Arabidopsis thaliana: one gene and its partner. The protein of the gene in region 2 interacts with the protein of the main gene of each other region in a biochemical or structural test. Each region holds a gene or a part of one and is shown on either strand. Other genes may lie near its edges. The genes, in order: WRKY57 and IAA29.

Region 1 (6,709 bases), on a different chromosome or scaffold from region 2:
AGACATAGTGTTGTCTCAACAGAAACATGAAATAAACATTGACCTTGTTGTTGATTGTGGTTGTCTTGGTTCAAAACCGGAATTTTATATTTTAATGTGAACATAATTGTGCGTTTTGCAAATACTTTTAAGTGGAGTTTTGGCTGATTAAGAACAATTAATGTCGACAATTAGCATGTTGACATATATTTAGTTCACAAGTCGACATTTATTTTCTTGATTTAAAATGTGAACTTAATTTACCAAAACGGAACGGTTTTTACACATTTGCTTGGCGTAGCTAGAAGTTGATATGTACGTCACTTCAATACATTCATTAACTTTGAACGGTTCATTGAAAAGCAAGACTTTGAATGTCTTTGGAAAGATTTAATTTGTTCGGATCAAAACATTTTTTTTTAGCATAAATAGGATTGTAATTTTTAAAATATGTAAACTGAGTAATTCTGATCATTAGACTGGTTTGTCTTCTGATTTAATGATCGTTTACGTCTCTTTTATATTTTGGCCTTTTGGGAGACAACGAGGCACCGCAATGGTTATCGTTTTCATCACGTAAACGAAATTCCGTTCCAAACCAAAAAACGATGATAAAACCATAATATATAGTCTAGATCAAAATGGGTAAAAGTCAAACATGATTGATGATTACCACAAATTTCGTCTTTTTTACCAACGTACAAAACATGTTAGTTACATGAATAGATTATCACCACATTCACAATGGCATGTCATATAAGTCGATGCTGTTCGGATTATCCATGCCTTGACCACGTTATAAGATATTTTCACCAAAGCAATTGATAATCTCTTTTTATAAATTACGCATCGCGAATTCTGTTCTCCAATATGAATTGGGGATATTCTTGCAATCTGTAAAGTTCATATAGATATATATCGCCCTAAAGTTATAAAGATAAAAGTATAAAATAATTGTAAAATTGATGAAAAGAATAATAAAAAATAACGTTATTTCCTCCATGTTCTTTTTCTTAAGTGCACATACATGCATCAAATGTGGGATGGATCCACGATTAAGATTAATGTTGTGTTACATCAAAATTATACCTGGATATATAACTACATATATAACAAGAAATATACATGAAGAAATTGCAAACGTACCGGTGGTGTGCTATTGATCAACAATGAGGTAATATATAGATCCATTGTTACAACGCCATATTGTTATACCCTCCCTGCGCATATTCTGGTCTGCAATATCTTCTATATATAATGAGTTAGCACCTCCTTAGCTATTGCTACGTACCAAGCTTACCTGGGAGATTAAATCAAACAAGGCAGATATGTATATATGTTACATTTCATCTTTGGAAATAGCATATGTTAATGTCAATGGTGTATAATTTGGTAAAGTTGATCTTATAAGAAATGTTTACAAATCAAACTATATATACGTAATTTAATAAATAAAAAATATATGTACACGAATTTACGTATTAAAGGTTTCAATTGTGGAGCTAGCTAAGATGCTCATACGTCTCTTCTACCTCATTTTCTTCCTTTTTCCTTTATTGGCTGTCTTTGGCTAAAACAGAAAGCATTTATTCCTATGACCTAACACATTACCCTCAGAACTTATCCTACATGCTTCGCGTAGTACTTCTTGTAAATATGCTTGTACATATACTGATATACATACACATAGACATAAGAATGATGCACCATGCAGGACACAGAATCACGCATATATACATGCAATTGTGAACACACACAAAAGGTTATAAATGTAAATGGAAAAGCCATTATCGTGACACTGAGTGGAGTAGTTGAGCTTCGATTTAAATATTTGTTGACATTTCTATAAACCCGCCGACCCATTTTGGGCTCGTCTCTATCAGACACAAGTAAGCCTATATATGCCTTATAGCAAGAGGGGTGAGACAAAAGGCACTATTATACCAGTGCTTGATCCTTATACAATCACTCGTAAATATATACATATATATATATATATATATATATCTGTGTGTGTATTTAAATATATATAGAGAGAGGCAATCATCCACTTATTATATATGCATGCATCATCCAACTTTATAATATGTTCTGCAAAAATGAATACTAGAGAAAGAAAAAGCACTGGCCGACATATCTATCGAGTGATCTAAATTGTTCCACAAGAGAGATAATGGTTCGCATCAATGATTAGACCAACACGATATTTGATCCTAATATTCATAAGTACATCTACATCAGTTAGACTTTGTTTCTGTCAAAGCATGGGAATTTTATCCCACCTAAGACATCCCTTGATGTGGATTTTCAGCTTCGGCCTAAAACGAAAAACCGTTTATCCCTTTGTGGTCCATTTAAAGTTTTTAAACCCTTGCATACCAAAGATATATATATTTGATCTCTTTATAGAGTTGATCACTCCTAAGACTATTAATGCACGAACATTAACAAATACAACAAAAAATATATATAACATGTAAGAAATTACCTCAAGGGTTGCGCATAGTTTGAGGTACAATATCACCAAGTAAGCCTTCCTCTGATGGAGTAGACACGGCAGGTGTATCTTCAGTAGTAGGTCGGGGTAACCGCGGTGAAGGAGCATTATTGTCTCTGTGAAGTTGATGAAGGAGTTCTTGGTAATAATAAGGATTTGGTAATGGAGGAGGGAGATGATGATGAGAAGTGAAGCTATGTGGGTCGTGTGCAGTGAGGATTCCACCACGAGGGAATCCAATGGTTTGATGGCAATGTTGTCCTTCGTATGTTGTGATCACTATCGATGGATCATCTGATGAACGTTCTACTCTCTTCTTCACCGTGCATCTGCTGTTTGTGCATCTATAGTAGCTCCTATATATCACAACAACAATAAGAAATATAGGTTGCATATCCGTTAACTAAGAGAATGATCAAAGAAACTGATGACTTATATACGACCTTGGGAATGGGCTATTCTTGACGGCTTTTTGTCCATATTTACGCCATCGATATCCATCTTCAAGATTATCCACATCACTCTTGGTCATGAATGCGAATCTTGGTTGCCGAATTCGCTTTTGAGCCTTCTTCTTCTCCTTCACTCTAGAAAACAAAGTATATAACCATGCATCAATATCACAGAGTAACCAATTAATCAAGCTATCAAATTCAAAAAAATATCACAAAACATGGACTCCAATCCTAATATTGCACAGTCAAAACAACCACGGAAAATAAAAAAGAGAGTTTAAAATAAAACGCAATTAACTTGAACATCTAACCAAAAAAAATTGTTACTTGACTTCAAATGCTTGCTATAACGTTTTCATTAAAATCATCCATTTTACATTGCTAGAACATTTTCATCCATCTTTTAAGTGAAAACCCTACATACGGAACATCTTATGAAACAACGATTGACGAGACAAGAATTGTTAAAAAAATCAGAGTCTTTTTTAATAACTTTGCTAGATAGATACTATGTAGATTAACATCATTAAAACGTGAGACGCTTTTTGACCTAACATTAGTATAATTAAAAAAGAAAAGGAAAGGACGAGGAGAAAAAGAAGATGTAGAGTGCACGCTAATATCACAGCCGCTATTGCGGCGGTGTTCCTCCCATTCCTCCATCATCATTATTATTTACTCCAACTGCCACCGACGATTCTTTACTTAATTACCAATTTCTCCTTCCCTCTCCAAAACTTCTAATGTACTACTGTACGGACGAACTCATCACTCTCTATCTTTCTTGCGATGCCAAAGAAATTACTCAAAAGAAAGAAAATAAATGAGAGAAAAAATGGGGCTTTTGGCTTTGGCCTCAAGATAAAACTAAAACCCTCCCCACCACCAACACTAAGATAATGAAGTAAATTACGATCGGACCCCTGCAAACAAAAACACACACGTGTTTCTCGTCTCAGTAAAAAAAACTCACGGTGTCTCCGGTGGTGGTGTTTTCTCGGCGGAGGCGGTTGAGTTCTCGGCCGGATCTTCACTTGAACTTGAGGTAGCTGAGGGATTATTATTAGTAGAGGTAACGGCAACGGAAACGGCGGCGGATGAGGAACAAGAAGAAGTGACGGTGGTAGGTTTGACTCCGGTGGTTTGTGTTAAATCGGAGTCGAATCTGAGACTGTGAGGATGATCGGAGGAGTGGTGGAGGTTCCAACCGAAGTCAGAGAGGATATTGGAAGTGTCTCGGTCGAAGAAGTCAGAATCTTGAGCTGTGAGTGTGAGTTCTCTCCAAGCAGAGTCGTCGTTGCTCAGATCGGGATTATCAGGATCGTTCATGATGATTGATCGGCGAGAGAAGTAGTGATAAGAGAAGATAGAGAAAGAGAGGTAGAGAGAGAAAAAGAGAGGAGCTAGGGTTTGTTCTTGATTGGAAGAGAAAGAAAGAAAGAAAGAAAGAAAAGAGAGTGAAAAAAAAACTTTGAAACCCGTTAAAGTGCAGTGTCTCGTCAAGGACCGATCTCAGACTCTCTCTCTCTTTGTCTATACGAGAGATTCTTTTAATTTATTTAATTTTTGGAAATTGCGTAAACACAAAATATATTAATAATAATTCAAGAGAGAGAGGGAAAAAAAAGAAGAGAAAGTTGAAAAAATGGAACGTCAACGTCAAAAGGGTCAAGTGAAACGGAACGGGAGGCTGCTAGTAGCGGAGAAAGTGAGAGGCCCACGTCTACTTTTTGAGTCCTATAGATCGACGCCTATTTTTAGACTCGGATTTGCATTTACTCTTCAATTAACATAGATGATGAGACTTCTTTCACTATTGAAATTGGTACCACTAATCCAATTGTCCAAAGAAGGACGATTAGCAAGATTTGTTCGTTTTATAGTTGTTGGTTCATCGAGACTTTTGTTTTTATGTATCTACTACTATTAGTCGATGTTACTGTTGCAACTATGAAACAAACCTAATTGAGTTATTGGTCATTGTTGATGTCGTGACTCGTGAGCGATTACGAAACAAACATACTATCAGAACCCTAGTTCGATCTGGTATAATTTTTGTTGTATGAGTCCATGGGATTCCTTTTTGTGGAAGAAAAGAAGCTTCAACTTAAAAATACCACCTACTTGTTTGTGGTTCGGATGACTGATGATGCGAGGATAAAAAAGCATAATTTTTTTTTTTTTTTTTTATGAAATGAGGTATAATTGAAAATGAATAAAGTATATTTAAATTTTGATTGAAAATTAGTTAGAAAGTAAATAATTGGTTTCTGCGTGTTGTCCGTGTTGGATATGACAAGAATCTAGCGAATGTAAACCACAAACAATTAACCGGCCACGTGGAAATTCTTAATCCTCATAAGTCATATATGATAATTATCTTATAATCATATTCACATGTTATTCCTTATTTATATTCCCATAATTGCAATCCATCAAACAAACGTTTCCGGTCGCACTCAGACTCAAACAACCATATCTTCGAGATTCATGTAAACGTTCCCTGTGGAAAAACTAAACAACATCGTCTTTTAAATAAAAAAGTGTCTATAAAATCAGCAGATGAATCGATTTTTGTTTAAATACATGCACGGATTAAAACGAGACACATGTCTACGTGATGTCTAACCATTATTAGAATATTGTTGAAATCATGTAACATATGTACCACACGCTACTACGCTAACAACGTATATATAGAATCATAGATACAGCTGTAATACAAGTTGTGTTTTAAAATTATGATTATAGAAAAACAGTTAACTTTGTCCATATACACTTTTGTGAAGATATGTGGATATGAATAATTTAGGTTCACATGTGTTTTTTAATCAAAGAATTAAGTATCAATACACATCTAAATAGCAACATTATTCTTTACCATTTTTGGGTTTGGTCTATCGATCTCGGTGCTATTATAACGCTAGCATCTACGTCGAGAATCGTTTGTGCGTACACGCAAGAGGGACACCTACTTGTATTTGCACAATCCATCTATATCCTCGTAGGCCCTTTGATTCGATATACATATCCTCGATAAATTATAAATAGTGGATTATGAATAGGAAGTATCAATAATGGTCCTCTCTAAAAAAAAAAAGGTATCAATAATGGGAGCAAATCATGTTAGAAATCAAATCAACATAAATATTGATTTGTAAATTTATTATATGATATAAACCGTTAACTTGATTACTAATTAAATGGAGTAAGTTTTTTAGTTTAGCTATAAAAAGACTGACCTATGTTTTTTATATATCATTTAAATTTGTTCTCAGTTCTAATGTGATATATGTAAAAAGGAAAATAAAATGATTCAACAAAACCGGTACAACGCATAGAAAATATGGTATTGTCATCTATTTACATATCACTGTTTCTTACCAAAAACAGACCATTATTTGTTTTTGTACCACTATTTCTCACTACTATATCTCTTACCGATTAATAGTATAGATGCAATCTCTTATTGTTAAACATTTTTTTTACCGATTAATTTCCATTGATTTATACTTCATAATCTTATATGCTCAGTTTTTTTTTTTATCATTTCTGATTTATAACTTATACACGCATATTAATAAGTTGGAATTCAAATTGTGATAAATAGTGTTGCGGCTACAAGCCCCCGTCACTAGCAGCTACAAAAACTACGTTTCCTCATATCATTCTTCATAAAGTGTAAACCTAATTGAACATGAATGAAATCATTATTTATAAATGAATACATCAAATGCGAGCAATTTGTTATTCGACTATTTTGTATCAAAAAAGAAAA
Region 2 (4,030 bases):
CGTGTGTCCGAGAGAGACTCAAGTCTGAACACCGAACGTATCGGTGAAGATGTCTTTTCTTTTTGTTTTGTTTGGTAATTAAATAATTTTCAATTTTTGTAGGGATCTTTTTACAGTTGTTTGATTGTTTCATTCATAACTTTAGTAGATCTAAAGTTGTGTTTCTCTAAATTTCACTAAAATATCTATTTTCCTTATATAAAGATTATGTTTGTCATATTATTTAATTTAAAGATTATAAACTTATGATATAATTTTATGCAAATTGTAAATATAATAACCATTTTAATAAAAGATTTTCTTATATATCATTCATTATTGATTAATATTTTAATCTAAATTACGCATTTTAAGCTAAGATCAATAATATTCATTTTAAATTTTGTTATCAGCTATTCAGCTAATTAAATTGTTTAAGAAATGTATCAGTTTTTATGTCATTTTTTTTCTGTTTACTCATGCTTTTTTTTTTCCCCTTGTTTACTCACAATTTAAAATCGTACTCCGATCTAATTCAAACCAAAATTTAATTACTTGGAAATCTCTTGAATCACATAAAGTGACATACTTACTTGTGTAAAACCCGGACGTCCGCAACCATTACATTCTTATGGTTTCTCAATCAAACAAGTCTATGAAAAAAAAATCAATTCGGTACACACAAAAAGTCTAACATCTTAATTATTATCAGCTAGTCTGTCTTTGACAATTCATGAGTTTTTTTTACTTTTGAATTTTCTTTAGCTTTTTGTCCATGTGTTAGCCATGGATCAGATAACAACAGATTATAAACCATTGGATTTGATACTAAGAACTAGAAGAATAGAGGAAAAAGATCGAGTGGAAATTTAATCAAATGATAGACATTTTAATTACAAAATAAAAAATAATGGTCCGATTTGAACGCCTATCCTTAAAACAAACATCTTGTATATGCACACGGTCGATCTCTAATTATTGATATCCGATGAACAGATTCCGCAAAGATCCTACAAAACCAAAACAACAAGTTAAGTATCAATATATAAGAAAGAGAGTATAGTAGTCATTACTCAATAAGTCATTTTTCTTGAAATATAGAGAAGTAAACTTACTTCCATGTAACATCCCCTCGAAGTAGCCAGTCACCCTCTTTCCCTTGGAAGGTGAATGTATAATTTGTATCTTCTCTGTCGCAATCTTCATCTGATAACCCAAAATTAGATTCAATAGTAGTAAAAAGTTACGTTCTATTTTCAATTGTTTATAGGTTTCTTACTCTAGATTTTGATAAACGTAATTAGTACTTACATTCGGTAAACATAGTGATCAAGGAGTTAGTGAGGGACTCGTAAGAGTTAAAAAGCTTGATATCCACTTTTCTTGCTATTGCCACACCATCCATCTTAACCTTAACATACATTGATGATCTTGATGATATTGACGAAGAAGATGATGATCCCACAGTAGCCGTTGTTGGATTAGATATGTTGTTGTTCATCGCCGTGATCCTCCTACCACGATGATGATACGGGCAATGATGGTGATTACGAATATGACGATGATGATAACTACCATACTTTATCATACATGTTTTTACTGGTGGCCATCCAACAACTTCGCTATTTTCCTCCTCATCACTAAATATTAAAATTAATTATATGTTACAAAAAAATACAAATTATGCCTCTCCATTGAGTTAACTACAAGTCTACAACATCATAACATTTTTGAAAACTACGGAGTCATTTATTATATAATAATACTAGATGTAACTACTTTAACCTAATTGTTGTCAAATACTAAAATAGTCAAGGTACTCACTCGTAAACTATTGAAGACTCGGATTCCAGAGGATCTTCGTCTTCCTCGTTGGGCTGGCCATTCAAGGCAAACAAACGCTGTTTTGGCATATAACAATTTTCCTCCACATTCCCTAACCCAAACGTCGCCTCAAAACGCAGTTTTTCGGTACCCAAACAAGACGCAGCACCCTCGATCGCACAATGCTTGTTGAGGTCAAAGTTAAACCCTAACTTGGAAGATTTATGAGGTGAAAGAGATAGACCAAGATCCAACTCCATTTCTAAGGCAGCTTCGTCTTTGATGAAACTAAAAGCTTTTGTTCTTTTATTATTGGCTTTGGAAAAGGTTGTGTTCGTTGGTGTTGATTGCTGAATTAGAGGATCATGAGTATTCCTATTTATAGTAAAAGGAAATGGGGGCAGAGGTCAAGGAGTAATATATGGCTTTATCAAAAATATACATATATATGTATATAATATTATGTACATTTTATGTAACCCACACAAATATAGATGTGGATAGATGGTATCTTAACCAACACGCTACTATTTATTCTAAACAACTAAAACAGTAATCATTCAAGTATTAGAATATACTAGTAATTTATATCGTTAAATTCTGAACTTTTAGTTCTATATCTTCTTGGCCCATAATATAGAACATATAGTTGGCTAGGATAATTATTATCTTAAAATGTTTCATAGTAGTATGTAAATCTAGACCCAACATGACTGAAGTAACGTTTCACCAGATAACTTATCTTTTTACGAATATTCATCTCTATAAGATCCAATGAAGTACGAAATCATATAGTTTAGGAAGTAACACAAAACCAATAGTCTATACCAAAAACAGGTGATACTAAACAGTTTTAGATTTTCTGATTTTTATGAATATATGAAATTTATGGCTTTCACGTTAAGCGAAAGGTAGTGAGGAAGTTCCTAGTTCTCCGAAGGAAAAAGGTCTTTTGGGAGAGAAGTAATGGCTTCCGACATTGATTAAGTTCGGGTCGGCCAATATCCCAACATTGATGCTAACACATTTTTACATTATTTTATCTAAAGTTTTATGCTTTTCTGCTTTAAATACATCTTATAAATTTTATTTTTATATTCAAGATCCACCTTATCTACACTGTATAACAAGTTCTCACCTACTTTTAATTTCAAATTTTGATCAAAACATAACATTATTACAAACGATTATATCATAAATTCCGCTCATTATATAATGAGCAAAACTTGCAAAATAAATTTATGGAAGGATTTACGGCTGCTAACTTGTGTTAGATGTGCGTCTTTAATTCATACTTTTGGCAATATGACAATCAACATATTTTAAAAAAAAAAATTAAGCATGTACTAAAAGAATGATAAAGTGCATCTATACTAAGAAATAAGAAGATGCATATTTCGTCAAGAGACACATGATTCAACGAATTTAGACATCCAACATCAAACCAACACGAATATTAGTAATAGACAAGTTTGGTTAATGTTGGAACGGACAACGTCCCATATTTTTGTTTACATTCTATGTTTCCAATAGAAAATTTGGTTTCGCACGGAAAAGGTGGAATTTAAGAATCATTGTATACAATACTATAAATGTGATACTTAAACTGATAACTGTAAGTAATACTCCTAGCAAACTCTGATTTTTCAGCTTGTCATAACTTTTGTTAACCTTTTAAGAGACAAAACTATCACTAGACATTTATAGCTTGACTCACTATACAAGTATTGACTTCATCAGTTGCAATTTTGTGGGGAAGAGTTGGATCAAATTATGAATAAGGGCTATTAAGTACGGTTTGCCTATCCTGAGGTACTTTGCTCTATATGGGAAGGAACATAGTTATTACTTTTTATAAACATAAATTTTGACAACTGTTGTTTTTATTGTAACCAACAAATTGAGGATCTTTATAGCTTATAGTTTCTTTGGATTGATTACGTAAACTAATTGAAACGACTAGTACCTCCTCCCCTATTTGACTAGGATACAATCATACAACGTAACAGGTTGAATTGCCGACATATGATTTTATTAAAACCAGTGTTTAAAAACTGATATTAGACTATCTGGTCGAACCAAATTCATTTATAAACAAAATAAAGCAACACAATTACCATGAAGACTAGAAAAATACGATAAGTAAAGCTATAAAAATATGGTGTTGTTTCAATTTTTAATTATCTTGTTTTACTCTTAATATTAGATAATGATATTTTAGCTGTAT

Evidence for each region.
Region 1: the proteins of IAA29 (region 2) and WRKY57 form a complex in vitro, tested with the Arabidopsis thaliana proteins (one study listed by BioGRID).

What each region holds. Positions count from the first base shown.
Region 1 is NC_003070.9:26,053,650-26,060,358, forward strand, and holds WRKY57 (WRKY DNA-binding protein 57), read right to left. Parts: upstream 4,735-6,709; 5' UTR 4,261-4,734; coding exon 3,905-4,260; intron 3,064-3,904; coding exon 2,920-3,063; intron 2,833-2,919; coding exon 2,469-2,832; 3' UTR 2,468-2,468; exon of another isoform or gene 2,391-2,467; intron 1,280-2,390; 3' UTR 626-1,279; downstream 1-625. UniProt on the Arabidopsis thaliana protein: Transcription factor. Interacts specifically with the W box (5'-(T)TGAC[CT]-3'), a frequently occurring elicitor-responsive cis-acting element.
Region 2 is NC_003075.7:15,581,512-15,585,541, reverse strand, and holds IAA29 (indole-3-acetic acid inducible 29), read right to left. Parts: upstream 2,211-4,030; 5' UTR 2,064-2,210; coding exon 1,804-2,063; intron 1,620-1,803; coding exon 1,291-1,619; coding exon of another isoform or gene 1,280-1,290; exon of another isoform or gene 1,186-1,279; coding exon 1,095-1,185; intron 990-1,094; coding exon 914-989; 3' UTR 644-913; downstream 1-643. UniProt on the Arabidopsis thaliana protein: Aux/IAA proteins are short-lived transcriptional factors that function as repressors of early auxin response genes at low auxin concentrations.